Rattus norvegicus: one gene and its partners. The protein of the gene in region 2 interacts with the protein of the main gene of each other region in a pairwise test. Links are inferred from orthologs where the notes say so. Each region holds a gene or a part of one and is shown on either strand. Other genes may lie near its edges.

Region 1 (6,385 bases), on a different chromosome or scaffold from region 2:
TTTTTTGTTTGTTTGTTTGTTTGTTTTTTTCTCAGAAGCGGTTATCTTGAGATAACAAAATGGCCAGGAACAGGATCAGGAAGCCAGAGTTTTGTTCATCAGGACTTGAACCTGCATCTCTTCTCTCAGTCCATTTCTCTGTGGATTTGTCACAAGCAGCTAAACATCTTATCAGCTTGCAGAAGCCTATCTTGCAGTCTAGGAAGCAGCAGAATATCCGGGGTTATAATTCTTGAGGTTATCAGGAAATTGGACTCTTTGAAATCATCCTTTAACCTTGAGCAAAAGGTGAAGGCTGTCTGCTTTGACAGATGGACGATGGAGGAAGCATCCTTTGATTCAACGGGCAATTTGTAAATATGAAACAGTTGCTGGGAAATTTTATTACAGACGAACCATCTCCTCCCTTATAATGTTTGCTTCTCTTTAATGCAATTTAATTCGAGCAGAAAGGCTCGGGAGGGTACACAGGCAATGCTAAGGAGAGGTTACTGGAAACGAGACATATGGACTGAGAGAAGCAAGCCATAGATTTGGAACAGGGACGAACTGAGGCGGTCTGCCCAGCCCTGGGCTGTGCCCACGGGAAATTGAATTCAGAGCTCCCACTGCATCATAAATCCAGGGCAGCTGGCAGCAACCCAAGAGAGACTAAAGCTCAACTCCAAGGGCATCTGACGCCAGGCCGGCCAACCTCTGTAATCAGGCTTTTTGAGAGCTGGGCCCCAGCTGTGCTGGACTGGGATTAGGGTTCAACGTCATGACTACATTCATTTACAAACCTCGATACTTTGTTAATTTTAAAATGCATCCAATCCGCAGGAAAAAGAGACTCCATTTTCATTATACACGGAAGGGATAAAAGGCTGGAATTACCCTAACATCTTGAGGATGAAGAAGGGAGGAGGTGGGGAGAGGGAGAGGCTTCTTCACAGTGGGCTCATTTTCAGACGATGATGATGACGATTATTATTATTGTTATTATTTCAGACAGGGACTCACTAGGTATCTCTGGCTAACCTAGAACTCACTATATAGACCAAGCCCACGAAGAATTCATAGAGATTTGCTTGCTGTCATCAAAGCATCACACCCAATTTTTATTATTTTTAAAATTATTTTTTAAAATAAACATTTGAAAAAAAAATTATTTAGCTGGGCATGTTGGGTCATCCTTTTCTTTTTCTTTTCTTTTTTTTTTCCCCTTCGGAGCTGAGGACCGAACCCAGGGCCTTGTGCTTGCTAGGCAAGCGCTCTACCACTGAGCTAAATCCCCAACCCCTTGGCTCATCCTTTTAGTTCCAGCATTCGGGTGTCAGAGGCAGGAAGACCTCTGAGTCGAAGGTTAGCCTGGTACACACAGAGAGTTCCATGATATTGAGGGCTATGCAGAGAAACCCTGTCTCAAAAAAGTTTTTCTTTTAAATTTATTTTGTGTGTATAGGTGTTTTGCCCGCGTGTATGTATGCACCACAAGCATGCCTGGTGTCGTTGGAGGCAAGAAGAGTGTTCCAGATAACCCTCATATGAGTACAGGTGTCTTTGGAGGCCAGAAGTATCCGATCCTTTTTGGAGCTGTAGTTACAAGGGTTCTGTGAGTGCTGGAAACAAACTCTGGCTCTCTTCAAGAGCAGAGAGTGCTCTTAACAACAGAACTATCTCCTCACACAATTATTACTGTGTGTATGTCATGTTTGGACGCCCATGCATGCTGCGGTCACAGTAAAACTTATAGTTAGTTCTTTTCGTTGAGCCAATCATCATCAGCCTTCCCTTCCAGATCTTTTCCCACTCCCCTACTCCATGCACTTGCGAGTCGCAACATAGCCATTTGGTTTTGTAGAGCGGGGCGTCCTCGTGCTCCTGATAGACACGGCTTCCTCTCCAGGATGCTCTAGAGGGGCAGACACCAGGTTCGAAGGAGGGTGCAGCGCTGCAGGATCCAAGTCTCTAGGCTAAGCAGCTACTGCAGCTACTGCAAGGCCCGGCGGAGTCTGGAGGGCGGGACCACTAGGCGTCTAGTCTCCGCCCACACCCACAGAGGGGGGCGTGGTTTATGTCACGTGACGGCGCCGGAGCAGCGAGGCTCCGCCCGGCCCTCCGTGGAGGCCCGGCCGCGACCCGGGCCGCGCACGCTGAGGAGCTCCTCCGTTCTCCCCGCGACCACTTCTCCTAGTCCCGGCTTTCAGCCCAGTCGCTCCCGCCGGCTCCGGGCTCGCCGGCTGGCTGGGAGTGGCCTCAAGATGGACGAAGGCGGTGGCGGTGAGGGCGGCAGCGGTGAGTGATGGAGGTGTGGCCGGCTCTCTGGGCGGCCCTGAGGCCGGGGGTCGCGCTGTTGAGAGCCCTGGCTTGAGATGTGGGGCCGGGTGTCGGGTGGGTTGGTGGCGACCGTGGGGAGGTGCTCGGGGTAAGGCCGGGACGCGGGCTTCGCAGCGTTGGTGAGAGGACAAGTCGGAGACCGCAGGGTCGTCGCCCAGCGCGGTAGCGGGTCGCGGGTTCGAGGCCAGGGTCTTCGCTGCACAGCTCCAGGTCGCCTTTCCGAGATGGGAGCACATTGCGGGGCGACCTTCCCAGCGTCTCATTGCCAAGGGCGTCCACGCCCTCCCTAGTCCAGCTGTTTCGGACGGGCCCCTCTCCTTTTCAGCTCTCCTCAGGTGTCTGGAGCTTGGGAGCTCGTGGATGGGGAGGGGAAAGTTTTCAATTTGGACGCCTCGGGGCCCGGGGGTGGGGTCTGTTGGATCGGTCCGGGGGAGAGGAGGAAGGTTGGAAGTCATAACAACGTCTCCGGGTTTTAGATCAGAAGTACTCGTTGGGAATGGCTTAAAGGACATGAGGGACAGGCAGCTCCAGTCCAGGTCTGAGTATGCATTTTTATCAAATAGAAAAAAAAAATGCTACAGAGAAGGGGTGGGGTGCAAAAATAAAGAGGGGGGCAAATAGCTGAATGATAGAATAATTGTCTAGCATGGCCCTGAGTTTGTTCACAACACCACCAAATGGAAAATATAATTAAGAAATTAAAGGGGTCAGGTGGGATCTCTCTAAAGCCGAGGGTGGGAAGCGGGAGCCACAGCCAACAAGGCTGTAAGACTCCAGGACAGGTGTGTGTGGCAGACACCCTTCCTGAGGTGGTTATCATTTCTCAGGGGCAGACACCCTTCCAGAGGTGGGTTATCAGTTCTCGGTGTTGCTCAGGCTCTATGTGCCTGACTTTGAATTCTGTCCTCCTGCAGATGTGCTGGTTGCAAATTACTCAACGGATTACAAATTCCTGTTGTATCATTTCATGAATTTGGTTTCCCAAAACATTAAGAGTCCCCGTTCGTCGAGTGGGTCTTTGATTGAGAAAGCAAGGGGTTAATAATGTACCCATCATTTTTACCCAAACACCCCAAGTTGAAGCTGTCTGGACTTTGAGTAACGATCTTCCTTTTTGCTGACAGAATGATCAGAGTCCCATGTAATAAGGGAGTGTTTAGGGGGGAAAAAAGTCTTAATTACAGGCTGCTGGAGCAGCTGCCTGTAAGAATCAGCAATATTGAAGACTTCCCCGTGAAGTGGTTAATCAAGGTGCCTTCTAGAATTCCAGAGCTTCTCAGATTTTTTTTTTCCTTCTCTGTGAAAGAAACGGGGTGGCTGGGCTGGTAGGAAGTTGGCACTCCTCGTGGCATTTGCCAAGTTCAGTTCTCATAGTAAAAGCCAGGGGTAGCACAGTGGCACCGAGTGGGTGTTTTGTTTGTGAAAAGAAAGAGCCCAGTTGCAAACCCTCCTACAGACCGGCTGCGGGGCTGGAGGCACTGGATCCCTGTGGATGCCTTGCCTTTCGCCTATATCACAGTTTGACATAGTTTAGAAAAGACAGGACAGTGGCAATTGGACATTGGAATCCAGGAAGCTGAATTGGGGACGGCTTTGCAGGTGCTGCAGTCTGTTGAGTCAACATGTGAAAGATTTGAAGGTAAAAGCAGATACAGTGGGGGAAACTTAGAAGCCAATGTGTTTCAGCAGTCCCTGGAATTTGAGAAGTATAATGAAGGTCAATATTAAAGTAGCAGGAAGGCTTAAAGCTATCTCTGGACCATTAATGTCTCTGGATATATTAATGTACCAGAGAAACACTCTTAAAATTAAAAAAAAAAAAAAGATGTTCAGTTCAATGATACTGCACTGTCATGGCCAACAGTTAAAAAATGAGACACAGTAACCGCGACCAGGTAAGGTTACTTCAGGGAGACATTACAAATTGACAGCTGGAGCTCACTCTCCAGGAGCCACATGGTGGAGGAGGGCCCTGCCGCCCACAAGTTGTCTTCTGACCTCCTCAGGCAAGCAGCAACAAGCTTGCGCACACATGCAGTTTTAAAAAGTTACCAAGGACAAGCAGTTCTTTTATACATTCTGATCTAAACAATGTAAATACTGCTGTCATTATGGATTTTCTCTTATATTTCCCAGGTTTTTTGAATAAGAACACATGCTTTCAAATTTAGACCAAAAAAAAAAAAATCTGGGCTTATAAAAGATCCACATATTTTAAACATACAGCGTGATTTAATTCACCTTCCTGGAACATTTGACAACAAAGAGATTTATTGATTTTTTTTTCTTTCCCTGCTGGAATGCCAGACAGTGTGCTATGTGATAGAAAACGGCTTTTTAATTTTTATTGATTCAGCTTATCAAAAAAAAATCTTTCCTGCTCACATTGTGGTAAGATACTTACGGGTGCTTTGGCATCTTTTTTTTTTTTTTCCCGAGAGTTGGGGACCGAACCCAGGGCCTTGCGGCCTGCTAGGCAAGCGCTCTACCACTGAGCTAAATCCCCAACCCCAGGAGAGACCTTTAATCTGCATCTGGGAGCCCTGTTTCAGCTTTCTTAGAAGATTAAAAAAAAAAAAAGCTAAATGTATTCGAATAGTAGTTAGAGCAGAGGGGAAGGTGACTGGCAGGGTTTTCTTTATGGTTAGTGCGTTGGTCAGGCAGAAAGGACTTCAGGGATGGTCGTTTTTATAACTGAACTTCTTGTCCAGGCTTTCGTTATTTGTTCTTTGCAGTGCTCGATAAGGCAAGGATGGCGCATGAATGGCTGGAAGGCGGTTACAAGGAGGGGCGAGTGGGGTACGAGATTACAGGAACACATTGTTCCTTGGACTGTGTGCAGAGTGCAGTGAAGGTGTTTTCCCTTGCCTTGGCACTTGGTACCGTTCAGTTCTTCTAGAACAGTTCTTGAACTAGGCCTCTACTTAGAAAGTAACTGGCTAGTTTGGCTCGGCGCCGTCAGGAGATCCTGGTTTCTGAGTGTGCCACTGGGACAGGTTGAGGGGGTGGGCCTGCCTTGTACCGGATGCGTTCCCATCTGGGTGGATGCGGGCAGTTTGTGCTCAGGTGCTCTGAACTTCAGGGTTCTCAGTAAGCGTGAAGGTGAGCTTGGCTGAGATCTCAACTTTCACCTGTCAGACAAGTGCTAAGCCTCAAGTTTGAAAACAGTGTGTTAAGGCCATTTTAGCCTTCGCTGGCGGCAGTACAGATTAGTCACCGTCTCAAGAAGGGTTAATGTACTCCGGGCCCTGTTAGCTTGGATCTGTTTCTTGCCCTTGCCTTGGGGAGGGACCCTGTCCTGCTGGTGCATTTTGAAGACTCTGGAATGACTCTTCTCTAATGAGTCTTCTTGAATGAGGTGAATGGTCTTGCCAGGCTGGGTCTGGCCAGTGGGAGCTACTAAGGAGTTTGGAAGCTGAAAGAATGGAGAAACCAGGTTCTCCTGTAAATGTTCTTGCCCCAGGCCGTGTCTCTGCAGCTGCTCTTCCTTTATTTAGGATCCTGCCCCAGCCACAGGGCCTCTGCTTTTCTAGCTCCTGTCCTTCCTAACCTCCAAGCTCTGGAAATGCTTTCTGCCTTTAGCCTCCCAACAGAAGGGAGAGCTTGTGGCTCCTCCTGGTCTCTGGGTTGTCTTACTGTTTCCTGTTTTTCTGTCACATGCATAACCAATTCCCTAGGCCAATTTCCCTCAACTTTAGAACCTTAAAGAGATGACTGTTTACCCTGTTTAGACCCTGATATCTACGGGAAATGCTGGGTATCTTCTAAAATCACACAGTAAGTCCTCAGATCCAACAGTGCAGCTCTAGGAATTTAACAGGGGAATACATTTTTATTTGCGTGAGGCAATAAAAGCAAAAGATTCTTCATTGCCTTCAATGTCTGTTAGCAGAAAACTTGAGAGAATACACTCTTAGTATAGGGGATGGTGACTGAAGCTGCAGAGTTGAGGGAAGAGGCCACTGAGTTGATCCAGACAGACCTCCATGATGTTTTACTAAATTACAGAAGCAAAGTATGAAAATACGTATTCTATGCTAGCTTCTTTTTTTTTCTCTCTCTTCCT
Region 2 (6,393 bases):
TTCCTACCTTTGGTGGGATCTGCTCGGCACAGAACTTATTTGTCCTGTATGTACCCGTTGTAGGCACCAGGGAGACAGCCATTAACAGAAAGCGATATTATTAATGCTTTAACTACAATTGTTCTGGGTATTACAAATGAGCTATAACAGTGTTAACAGGGAAGGCATCCCTGAGGAGGTGATATTTGAGGTAAGACACACAGGACAGACAGTTGCTCTCCATTGGTTGAGGGACCAGGGAGATGATTCGTTAGTAAAAATGCTTGCCTCTAAAGCTGTCGACCTGAGTCCCTGGGTTCAGTGTCTGAGATGCCATGGTGGAAGATGAGAACTGATCCTTACAAAAGATGCTCTGACCTTTGCCACACTCCTATGCGCGTGTGTGTGCACACACGTACACATCAAACACGCAAACAAACTCAACCGTTGATAAAATCATTAAGACGACAAGCTCTAGGGTGGGGTGGGAAGCAAGGTGGCCCAGTGGCCCAGCACAGATCTGCTCTGACCTATCAGATCAACAGCCAAGGACTGCTTTTCTGTCCCAGACCCTAGAGGATACCAAGGACAAGAACAGTCACTAGTCACCCGTCCATCCCTAGTACCTGTTGAGCCAAGAGAGCAGGGCATGAGCCTCCCGTACCAGCTCTACAGCAGCATTGAGGACATCGGCGGGTGTCTCAGCACAGTCTCTCAGACGGCCTTGGACCAAGCTTTGGAAGGCCTGGGTCCTGTCCAGCAGCCCCTGGGCTAGGCTCTTGAGGTTCTCAGTCTGTAACTTAGAGCCCTGCAGCACGAGGGGGGCATGTTACTGCATCTGCCCTGGCAGCCAGCCCACGTGGGCAAACCCCTAAGCTAGTGGATGCTACAGCCAGTGTGGGCAATGCTCACTCACCAGGGCCCGGAGCTGTTCCACTCCATGTAGAATGAGCTCCTGGTGGCCCAGAGGCCACACGGTCAGAGCCTCGAGGTTTTGGGGACAGAGCTGCAGCAGGTACTTTCCAGGCAGCTCCCAGTCCTCGAAGGGATAGTCCTGTAGGACGTCATCAAGGCCTGGGGCAAAAAGGGGGTCAGAGTGGGGAAACAGGTGTCATTACCATTCTGAGATGTTATTATATCAGAGCCCTTCCCCTCCCTCCTGTCCCTAATGACAACCCTGAGACCCTGGGTGTGTTCTGCCCTTCTCACGGCTGATTCTTCTGAGTCGAAAACCATAGACAGCGGTGACTCTAGCAAGTGTGCCCAACCTACTGACGTTGACATCTACCGAATTCATGCCCAAATATCTTGAAATATAGTCACCACGAAACACAACAAACAGGGCCCTGGTGGCTCTTCCCAAGGACCCACGTTCAATCCCCAGCACCCACATGGCAGCTCACAACTGTCTGTAACTCCAGTTCCAGAGGACCTGGCACTCTCACACAGACATATATACAGGTAAAACACCGATGCACATTAAAAAAAAAATCTTTAAAAAAACAAAAACAACAAAAGAAGCTAGTGAGATGCTTCCGTGGTTAAGAACAATCCATACTGTTCTTGGCAGGGACCTAAGCTTGTTTTCCCAGTATCCATACCCCAAGCACGTGGAGTAACGGAGACCTGAGTGGGGGCTAACACTTAAAATATAGACTAGTGGGTTGGGGATTTAGCTCAGTGGTAGAGCGCTTGCCTAGCAAGCGCAAGGCCCTGGGTTTGGTCCCCAGCTCCGAAAAAAAGAAAAAAAAAATATATAGACTAGTTCTGTGCCTAAATTTCTTCGCATACAACAGGAACAGGACTGGAGAGATGGCTCAGTAGTTAAGGGCACTTTACTGTTGTTACAGAGGACCCAGGTTCAGTTCCCAGCACCCACAGGGTAAATCACAACCATCCAAGAGCACTCTCCAGGTACACATACATATGTGCAGGTAACACACACACACACACACACACAGACACACACACACACACACACACACAGAGTAAATAAAATACCTAAAATGGGAACGACAGAAGTGCCTGCTTCTAACCATGCATTGTAGATGATGACTGTGGGCCACTCAGTCCACAGTCACACATCAACAGCCATTCACATTGCTGCCGGGCTGTCTACCATGACCTGACTTTGTGGGAGGCAATGTTTTGAGAACTTTACCCATAGTTGGTGTGGTAGTGCATGCCTTTAATCCCAACACTTGGAACAAGGAGACAAGAGGATCCCTGAGTTCACAACCAGGGCTACACAAAGAAACCCTGTCTCAAAAAAAAAAAAAAAACAAAAAACAAAAAAAAACCCAACAACCAAAAAAAAAAAAAACAAAAAAAAAAAAAAAACAAAAAAAAAAACAAAACAAAAAAAAAAAAAAAACGAACAAACCAACCCAAAAACCAAAAACCAACTTTACCCATCTGGCTCCTTTGTCATTTCTACAAGGTGGGGACCACCCATCATCGTCCCTGATACAGAACTGGGAAAACCAACGGAGATGCAGCGGCATGTTCAGACGTTGGTAGAAAACCTCCCAGAGCTGTCATGGGGAATGTGTGGTCATTAGATGCTCCTCCTGATTTCCCCTGCACCATTAAGAGCGCTGGATTGGGAGCTCAGGAGCCAGGGTTACTCAGACAATTTCTTTCCTGTGTTGAATGTGCTGGTCTGCCGTCCTCCTCATTTTGTCCGATTCATGAACAGTGAAAGCCAGACCTGTGGTCACCGTCCTGGTGAGTTGGTAGTGCTGGTCTGGGCCCCAGTGTGGGAGTCTGACTGGGCTCTGCTGGGCTGCTCACACGGAGAAGGCCTCCAGGCAGGCTCCAGCTGTCGTCGTCCCCCCCCACCCCCAGCCTGCACACTCCCTGCTGCAGTCACAGATCGCCCTGAGTCTAACTGTGTTTGTGACTCTTGGTCACCTGGGGAGTGATCCTCACTCCCGACGACGGAAGCCCCAGGGCGGAGTTGTGTCACCCCTTCAGTATGACTGGGGTTTCTGTTTCTCTTACTGCCAACCTCAGGCTGGGAAAATGACACCAGGGCCGGCCCTGTTCCAAGACTGAATAAATCACTTCCTGGCTCTGTGTATGTTTCTACTTCTGAAAAATGGGCTTACTAATAGCTCTCAGGGCCCTGGGGCACAGAGAAGATGACGGAGATAAAGGGGGCGTGGGCCACCAGAGCCTCCCTGTTTTACCTATTACCAGGTGGCCTCCTGCCACCCTGGCGGGCGCTAGAACACACAAAAGTCCAGAAAAGACCCCTTCCTGCGTCTTGGGCCCTGTAGTGTCGCCTGGCCTGTACAGGGGACTCTGGTAGGCTGGTACAGGGCAGACGCTCTATAAATACCTGTTGACTAATAGACTCCGCAGGTTCTTTCTCCTTTTTCCTCCCTACTTTTTGGTCCAAGGGACACCGCACTAATCCCCTTGAGCCCACCCCACCCCCGCCTCTCCCGGTTCACCCACCTCTCAGCCAAGCTGCCACCTTCCCGGGGGTCCAGGTCTCCACGGGCTCCATACTGAGCTCCGCCCGCAGCGTCCAGACCCTGCAGGAATTTCCGCTCCTAGTCGGAGCCCGGAGCCCGCGGGGCTGGGCCAGAGTAGCAGGGCGGAGCCGCTGCATACCTGGGCCCACGTGGCCACCCAGGTGAGGCGCTGCCACTGTCATTGGTCCACCGCCTGTCTTCCTTCTGCCCTGCCCCTCTGCCATCCTAGGACTTTGGCAGCTAAGCAGTTGGGACTCCTGGGCTGGCGCCAAGAGGTGTGACTCAGGCAGTCCGGAACTGGCATGGTGTTCATTCAAAACTGGCCTCACCGAGGAGGATCCCTGCAAGTTTGACCTTAGCCGGGTCTACATAGTGAGTTCCAGGCTATCCAGAACTATGTATCAAGACTTGTCTCAAATATCAACAAAACAAAAAACAAACAACTAGGCCCATACCCCAGCCGAGAGGACCCTAACCTCTCAGCACTCCCTCAAAAGAGTACTTGGTGAATGTTTGGCACAGAAGCAAAGAGCATGATTAGCCCCCAACCACCAACCCCCAGATCCCTGTGTTATCTCGTTATTGCTATTTGGAGTTGTCGCACAGACAGCTGACCTAACTTTCAGTGCTCAGTTCCAGGGCATAACAGTCCTTGCTCTATGGGACATTTGCGAGTATATCTGAGCAAATGCTAACTGTAAATGGTGTAATCTCAGGATTCTGGAGGCTGAGGCAGGTGGATCGCTCGAGTTCAGGGAGGGCCTGGACTACAGAGTGAGTCCATTCCAAAACAAAATGAAAACAGCAGAAACTAAAATCTAAGGAAACAAAAGCCTCAGCTCGAGACTCTGTCCCTTTGACAATCTGATGAGACTTAAGAGTCCCTTTCTCAAAGTAAGACTTTAATCAATTCAGTTATTACTTATTTTAGGACACGACATGCCTTTATTGGTCACCATAAGTGAAGAGTAAACTCACCAGCCATTCCCGAGAGACATTTGCAGATATATTAGCTGCCTCCTGAAAGCACTTTTATTCTTTTTTAAAAGATTTATTTATGGGCTGGAGAGATGGCTCAGCGATTAAGAGAACCCGACTGCTCTTCCAGAGGTCATGAGTTCAATTCCCAGCAACCACATGGTGGGTCACAACCATCTGTAAAGAGATCCGATGCCCTCTTCTGGTGTATCTGAAGGCAGCTACAGTGTACTTATATATAGTAAATGAATAAATCTTTTTAAAAAAAGACTTATTTATTTATTTATTTATTTATTTATTTAATCTATGTGAGTACACTCACTGAAGCTGTCTTCAGACACACCAGAAGAGGGCATCAGATCCCATTACAGATGGTTGTGAGCCACCATGTGGTTGCTGGGAATTGAACCTCTGGAAGAGCAGTCGGTGCTCTTAACCACTGAGCCATCTCTCCAGCCCGCACTTTGCTTTCTTGCTACAAATTTTAAGCTGCTTTTAATTCTATGTTGCTCACAGTGCTCTACAACTCATGGGTTCCAGTGATTTTCGTGCCTCAGTTTCCAAAAACAGTTTGTAACACAGAGCCAGCAATTAGGGCTGGAGAGATGGCCAACAGTTAAAAACAGGCAGAGAACCAGGTTCAATTCCTAGGGCCCACATGTTGATTCACAACTGTCTTGTAACTCCAGTTCCAGGGGATCTGACGCCCTCTTCTGGTCTCCTCATGAACTGCATGAATATGGTACAAAACCCAGGCAAATACCCATACTCACAAATCTTTTCTTAAAAAAAGCATAAAACCAGGCTGGAGAGATGGCTCAGTGGTTAAGAGCACTGACTGCTCTTCCAGAGGTCCTGAGTTCAATTCCCAGCCACCACATGGTGGCTCACAACCATCTTTGTAGTGGGAGCCAATGCCCTCTTCTGGTGTGTCTGATGACAGTGATAGTGTATTCACATACATAAAAATAAATACATCTTATATTTTTGGTTGTGAGCCTAGCCTTTAACGGCTGAGCCATTTCTCCAGCCCAAAATAAATAAATCTTTAAAAAAAAAGCACAAACCAATGTTTAGAATCACACCAACAATTATAACAAGTCACAAATCTGTGGATAGGTGTGGTAGTGCACACCTTAATCCCAGCCCTCAGAAGGCAGAGGTAGGTAGGTTCTATGAGTTCAAGGAGAGTCTGATCTACATTGTGAGCTCCGGGACAGTCAGGACTACATAGCAACCCAGTGATGCACGCCAATAAGAATTTCAATGTAAGCATGTAATAATATATATTTTATTTATATTTATTCTCAAAGAATGCTGGCCAGGTATGGTGGAACGCACAAGGGCTGCAGAGACAGCTCAGTGTTAAGAGCCCTGGCTGCTTTTCCGGAGGACCTGAGCTCAGTTCCTAGCACCTACTTGGATACTCAGCTGTCTTTGACTGTAGTTCCAGGGATTCAATGACCCCTTCTGGCCTCTGAGGTAAACCAGTCATGATAATGGCACACACACATTCATGCAGGCAAACATGCACATAAAAATGTTTAAATGCTCTCTTTAAAAAGAAAAATGAAAAAAACCCAAGACACAGATGTGATATGCTGAGGTGCTTATTAATAAATGGCATTAGAAAAATTAAAGCTGGGCTGGAGAGACGGCTCAGTGGTTAAGAGCACTGACTGCTCTTCCAGAGGTCCTGAGTTCAAATCCCAGCAACCACATGGTGGCTCACAACCATCTGTAACGGGATCCGATGCCCTCTTCTGGTGTGTCTGAAGACAGCGACAGTGTACTTATATAGAATAGATAAATAAATCTTAAAAAAAAAAAATAAAGTTAGGGGTTGGGGATTTAGCTCAGTGGTAGAGCGCTTGCCTAGCAAACGCAAGGCCCTGGGTTCGGTCCCCAGCTCCAAAAAAAAAAAAAAAAAGAAAAGAAAAGAAAAAGAAAAAAA
Region 3 (6,507 bases), on a different chromosome or scaffold from region 2:
GTCAGGGCACCTGATTCACCACTTCCTGTGGTTCAGGAAGAGAGGGTAATCTTGAGTTCCTGCTAGCAGTGACTAGCTGAGACCAAGGCCAAGTGAAAGGACAGTAGATTTCACTTGGGGGCACAGGTTGGGAGGAGGCATGGGTAGCTTCATGGAGGATGGTGAGCAGAGATTTGCAGGGGTCACTAGCAGGCAGGTGCACAGGAGGGGCCTGAAGATACATCATGACCAGTGACTCACCAGCCTCCTACAGAGCCACCCTGGTCCTGGCACGGCAAAGGAAGTAGCCATATGGTGTGGTAAGAAGCTGGACTCCTTCCTGGGTCCCCTGACTACCACCCATCGATGTCCAACCAACCGGGTGCAGATACTGGCACTGGGCCACCATTTCCCTTGGGCTGGAACCTTTGCTCTAACAAAAACCAGCCAGTTCTTTATTTTTGCGTTGCTAAGGATAGAACCAATGGCTTTGAACAGGCCTGACAGATTCCCGACCACTGAGCCCCATCCTGGCCCAGCTATTCATGTTGGCTGGAGTCCACAGGTTCAGATAGATACCGTTCCTCTACTCAAGGGCTTTCAAATACCATGGGACCATGTGAAGCCAGGAACATTTTCTTAGCAAAGGCTGTGTGCAGTGGGACCTGAATGTCCCCACCCTTTGTCACCACCACGGCCTGCTAGAGAACAGAGCAGCCTTATGGTGATGCAGAGAAGGTCCCCTGCTTGGATGGTCCCTCCAGGACACACAGTGCCCCTTCCCATTGCACATGCAGCTGGGGTGTGGGGCTCCTTAAGCGGGAGTATAGGCCTGTTGCCTCAGTGGGACTTTCCCTGCAGGGGGTAGAGATCCTGTTCCAAGTGGGGCAGAGAGGAGTGGGATGCAAGTCTCATTTAAGTCCAAGCTCTTGGACACCCAAGGGACCCTGTTCACTTAGTCTTCGTGATGGGGTAGACTCAGGGACTCAGAAAGGTGAGGTGACATATCCCAGGTCACACAACTGGGAAGGAGCAGTATGGGATTTCAGCGTGGTTACTGACACAAGGCTTTGCCCGAGAGAGCCAGGGGTGTGTGTGGTGTGTGTGTGTGTGTGTGTGTGTGTGTGTGTGTGTGTGTGTGTGTGTGTCTGTCTGTCTGTCTGTCTGTCTGTCTGTCTGTCTGTCTGTGTCTGTGTGTCTGGAGAATGAATGAGCATGTGTGTTCATCTGTGTAGAGGCCAGAGGCTGACACCATGCTTTGTTGTTTCTGTTGTGCTGTCTTTCCTTCCTCCCTTCTCTCCTTCTCTCTCTCTCTCTCTCTCTTTCAACAGGGTTTCTCTGTGTAGCCCTCTGCTGTCCTGGAACTCGATCTGTAGATCAGGCTGACCTCAAGTGTCACCTGCCTCTGCCTCCCGAGTGCTGGGACTAAAGGCGTGCCCCGCCACTGGTGGCATCTCTCATGAAACCTAGATGGCTACCAAGCTGCACCTGGACCTTACACAACTCTGAGAATTCCCCTCTACCCAGCCTCTTACTGAGCTCTAGGAATGTACCCCAACCACAGGCACCTTGACACTACCTCCCTTTACCCTTTGGGCACCGCCATCATCAGGTCTTGTCAATCTTCCTACCATGTCTATCCTTCCCCCCGGCCCTCCAATGACATCTGATTGCCTTACTCAAGGTGGAAGATGGGCTTCCCAATGCTGCTCCACCTCCCTCTGTGTGCTGTCCCTGAGTACTCCCAATACCTCCTCCTCCACAAAGGACCTACTGTGTGTACTGCTCATCCTGTCTCTCAATCCCCCACTGCTCTGAAGAGGGGATTTCTAACTCCCTGCTCTATGAGATACTCTTGGGCTTCCCAGAGGTTAAGTGACCTCTCTCAGCTGACATAGCTGGGTGGTGGTGGAGCTGGGGTTCATGCTCTGCCCACCTGGGGCTGGAGGCTACAGCTGCCCTGGAACCTTGTAAAATCCACAAGCTTGGGTCTTCTGACAGCCACAACAGTGTGAAAAGCGGTCACCCTTGACCCCAGCCTGCTCTGTCTTCTGTGCTCCTGTCTCAGGTCTATGAGTGCCCAGGGCCCGCTGCCCGGCAGCCACTACCTCAGCCTCTTACCACTTCCCTCTTGCCCTTCCTCTTTCCCGTCATATTTTTAGTGCCTGTGTCTTAGCTTCCAGGGCAGCTGGCTCCACTTCCCTTTTCCCAGTGAAGGGGGGACCACTGGGCACACAGGGAGGGGGCTCCTGAGGGCTGTTTGCTAGAAGGGGAGGGAACTTCCTCTCCCTGCCAGTGACCTCTAGTTTTAGTCTGCTTGCCCTCATGCCTTTACCAGGCAGGACTTTCTTGTGCTCAGGGCTCGCCTTGCAGCAGGCCCTGGGGAAGGGCCTTAGCCTGTTCCACTGTATATAATACAGGTCCATGGCAGGAGCCAGAGGCAGCTTGGGAGAGCCTTTACCTCCATCCCCAGTCATAACCATCACATGGGAACCCAGGCCTGCTGTGGAGGAGACCCAGCCCTGCCACCCGCAGGGCAGATCCCCACATTCTCAGAGGTCGTCTGGGAGGACGAAGGAACAGTCGTCCGCAGACAATGAATCCGAGGAGAGCCCTGGACGCCACGGGCTCCTGTGGGACCTGGGCAACAGAAAGATCTTTCCCTTCCCAGGTGCCTCCTCCAGGAAGTCCCCAGTCCCTCTCTTCATTCTCCTCATTTGTGGGTGTGGCCAGGTAAGGATTAGAGTCCTCTGTCCCTCCACTCAGCACCCTGGTCAGCCAGCTCCCCTTTGGTCATTGGGAAGCACACCACAGGGCTATTTGTAAAATGAATAAATAAAGAACAAACAGAAAGATGAACTGGTCTGTGGAGACCCTTTGCCTGGTCTCGCTTTGCCGTCATGTTGGCCTTGAGCCTCAGCCTAGTCCCTGGGTCTCTGTGGAACTTAACACACCTCCCCTTTCTCCCCGCCCCCAAAAGCCCCAGAGACACAGTGGAGAGGTTATGTTAAGGAGATCTTTGGTGGCCAGAGACGTAGCCTCTTCTTATATCATGTCTCCTCAAAGCCTCCTGTGTCCCGTCCATAAATGAATGGCTGTTGAAAGAGCCCGAGGGAGCCAGGTACGGTGGGACAAGCCTTTAATCCCAGCACTGGGGAGGCAGAGGCAGCTCTGTGATGTGGAGGCCAGCCTGGTCTACAGAGCTAGTTCCAAGACAGCCAAGGCTACATGGAGAAACCCTCTCTCCAAAAATCTAAAAAAAAGGGGCGGCCAGGGCGGGGTATGAAAGAAAGAGAGAAAGATAGATAGATAGATAGATAGATAGATAGATAGATACAAACAAACAAACAAGCAAGCAAACAAACAAAGAAGAAATGAAGGGAGAACCTGATAGGTTTCTATGTTCCTGGCATTCAGAACAAGGCCCAGCATCTGGAGACGGCCCAGTGTCAGCGGGTGGGGCCTGGCTGCTCAGCATTAGGTTTCATTTGGGGAAAGGTATCACTCTGAACCAGTTAGGAGACCTGGGGATCCAGACAGTTAGCAGCTGCTGTCCCTCAGAGCCTCCAATTCCAAGAGAACTCTCTGAGGCTCAGGGCACAGGGACAAAGCTCCTCCCACAGCCCTGCTCTCTGCTCCCTGTCCCTCCAGTGTCAACTTCACAGCCTCCCTTTTCTCTGTCCTTCAGACCCACCACCCTGGCTACTGAGTGAACCCTGGCACCAGGGCCTCACTGAACGTGTTAGTCCTTCAGTCAGTGTCCCCAGCCTCCATCAAAGGTCACCAGACCCTAAGAGCTGAAAAGGCTCTGTGGTCCCTCACACTGGCCAGGTACGTGTCACCACCAATAGTATCCACCTTCATCCAAAGTCATTTTTTTCAGCCACCTCCGGGCCCTTGCAGACGACATTCCCTCTTCCTGAAAACTCTTCCTGGGGACTCCCAAGAACTCTCTTTCCTGAGCTGTGTCATGCTGAGGCCTCTAAATTTCTTCTCTCCTAGTCCTTGATCTCCTGTCTTATCTATCTTTTATCTCGTTTGTCACCATCCACCCCATAGCTACAGCAGAGCCCAGAAGGTTAGTGACCACTCAGATCCCTGTGAGACCCTGAGACCTGGAGTCTAGCCTGGTGCCTGCCTCTGCACACAGAGTTTGATGTTTGCGACTAGTTAAAACCAGTTTTATTTCCAGGTCTTTCAGGCATGGCTGCCATTGTGTCCCTGTTCTGCAGGAGGAAAGGGCTGAGACCTGTGGCTAAGACCTATTGCTTACCTGCATGACATACATCCATTCTGAAGCCCCCGGGGGAAGGCGGCCCAGCTGCTTGTCTTGCTGGCTCAGAGGCTGCTCTGGTGGGTAGCCACCAGGACCAGTCAAGGCCCCTTCCTGTCTGCCCCGCCCAGACCCTGTGGGAGGAAGTCAGCCCAGGCCACAGGGGTCTGTGCGCAGGCTCCTGACGCAGTGAGCACTTCCTAAAGGCAGTTGAGTTTCACCAGTTAGCTTAGACCCTGGCATTTGAGTTCTTGGAAGGTGAGAAAGCAGAAGAAAGGCAGATCTGAGGCAGGCCACTGGTAAAGACAGACAGACAAGACAGACAGATAGATTATGGGTATCCACAAGCTCAGTCACAGAGAAGGTCCTAAGGATGGACCTCTTCTGGGGGCTTGGGCCTTGACCCAGCAACCTCTTTATATATAAGCCAAAGGGTTTTCCAGCTTCAAGGGTCCTCTCTGAACTCTTCCTTGTGAAATCTCACCCGAGAAAAGACAAAGTCATACAGGGAAGGGCAGGGCTTCGCTTTCCTTCAAAGGAATGCCATCCTCCCCCCATGCCTCACAAAGTGCCTAATTTCTCTCCCTCCCCAGGCTGCTGGAAAACTCACCATCAAATCCGTTAATTCTTCCAGGTGACTTTGTGGCCAGATTCAGATGTTTGACCCTCAGCTCCTCCACTCCGGGTGCATGTGACTTCGGGCTGGTCACACATTACACGGAGCCTCACTTTGCTTTCCTGTGAAGGGAGTGTGCACACTCAACCTTGGGAATGTAGAGAGAACATGTGAGATTCTTGGAACGTAGTAGGTGCTCAAAAAAAGCTTTTCCTTTAGGCTTTAATACACCCCCCCTCCCCCCGTTGGCTGCTCCATCTCTCAGGCCTTTTCTGACAGGTCGGTTCAGATCTTGGAGGGAAAGGGGGATGGCTCAAAGAAACGTCGGTAAGATGAGGGCTTACTCTTTGGAATTCAGGGCACATCTTGGCTCACTGATCTGTTTCCAGTCTATTTAGAAGTCCAGTGCGGGCATGGTCACATTTGTGTCCTAGTATCTTGTAAAATGTGAGGAGAAAGGGGTGTTCAAGTGAGGATGAATTAATGAATGAGCAAATGAATGAATGAATAAATGAATACACCAAGGGGAGATAGACATGTAGTCCCTTCCTTGAGTGACACAGAGATTGCTGGCCTGCTGGTATAGGCCTGTCATCCTGGTTTCTTGGGAGACTGAGGCAGGAGGATTAAAAATGTAAGTCTCATCCAGACTGCTTAGTGAAAACTTGTCTTAAAATAAGAAACAAGAAGCAAAAGGCTGGGGACTTAGCTCACGGGTAGAGAGCTTGTCAAGGCCCTGCATGAGTGTGCACACGCACACACACACACACGCACTTGCACACACACATGCACAAGTGGGATCTGCTCTTCTCCCCTGGAGTCTGACCTCAGCCCCGTGTCTTTGACTCAGAGTCTAGCAGTTTTGTGTATAAACAGCAGGGGGCGCCCTGGGGGCCTGGACGAATCTGATTTACAGAGTGGAGCAGGCTGTCTCTCCCACATCTGTTGCTTCTCATCCAAGTTTGGCCACAGGATTAAGAAGCAGGATTCTCCACAGGCAGCAGGAAGCTGGGAACTGGTGCTTGGGAGTGGGGTGGACCAGGGGCTACAGCAGGAACAGAGAACTGGGGTCAAAGGTCCTGTTGCTATGTCTAAATTCACTCTTAGGAATTGCCCCGGTTCCTGAGACCCCTCCCAGGGTCATTGGCCATTAGCTAATATGGGACGCATCTGACACAGTGGTGATCAGTGACATTATGAAGTAGGAGTCAGTGCCTGGCATGAAAGGGACTAGAGCTAGGATGATGATCAGGGTGGTTAGTGTAAATCGCAACTTGACAGAGTCTAGAGCCACCTGGGAGATACCTCTGGACATGACCGTGGAGGGTCATCTTGGTTTTTGTTAATCAGGAAGGGAAGACCTGCCCACTGTGGGTGGCACCACTCCCTGCTGGCTTCCGGGACTGTATAAACAGAGACAGGGAGTTGAGCATGTGTTCATCCACCTTCCTCAGCTTCCTGACTGTAGGTGGAATTTGACTGGCTGCCTCAACCTTCTGACTCCTCTCTCATGGTGGATCCCACCCTTGAGCTGTGAGAAGAGAAACTCTGTTGCTTTTGTCAGAGTATATTGTCCTAACAACAGGAAAACAAACGCTAAGACAGCAACTAAAACAATGATGGCCTACAGCAATTCAGG

Evidence for each region.
Region 1: the proteins of Cnksr1 (region 2) and Cyth3 interact in binary tests that used the Homo sapiens proteins (3 or more experiments, as listed by UniProt). The two-hybrid records come from large-scale screens. The link is inferred for Rattus norvegicus from reciprocal best matches to the Homo sapiens genes CNKSR1 and CYTH3.
Region 3: the proteins of Cnksr1 (region 2) and Cyth4 interact in binary tests that used the Homo sapiens proteins (3 or more experiments, as listed by UniProt). The two-hybrid records come from large-scale screens. The link is inferred for Rattus norvegicus from reciprocal best matches to the Homo sapiens genes CNKSR1 and CYTH4.

The regions. Positions count from the first base shown.
Region 1 is NC_086030.1:16,043,166-16,049,550, reverse strand, and holds the start of Cyth3 (cytohesin-3), read left to right. Parts: upstream 1-2,122; 5' UTR 2,123-2,243; coding exon 2,244-2,277; intron 2,278-6,385. UniProt on the Homo sapiens protein: Promotes guanine-nucleotide exchange on ARF1 and ARF6. Promotes the activation of ARF factors through replacement of GDP with GTP. Plays a role in the epithelial polarization.
Region 2 is NC_086023.1:151,738,360-151,744,752, forward strand, and holds the start of Cnksr1 (connector enhancer of kinase suppressor of ras 1), read right to left. Parts: upstream 3,691-6,393; 5' UTR 3,686-3,690; coding exon 3,442-3,685; intron 3,197-3,441; exon of another isoform or gene 2,395-3,196; coding exon of another isoform or gene 2,391-2,394; intron 1,054-2,390; coding exon 896-1,053; intron 788-895; coding exon 606-787; intron 1-605. UniProt on the Homo sapiens protein: May function as an adapter protein or regulator of Ras signaling pathways.
Region 3 is NC_086025.1:112,030,606-112,037,112, reverse strand, and holds the start of Cyth4 (cytohesin-4), read right to left. Parts: upstream 4,332-6,507; 5' UTR 4,272-4,331; coding exon 4,253-4,271; intron 1-4,252. UniProt on the Homo sapiens protein: Promotes guanine-nucleotide exchange on ARF1 and ARF5. Promotes the activation of ARF factors through replacement of GDP with GTP.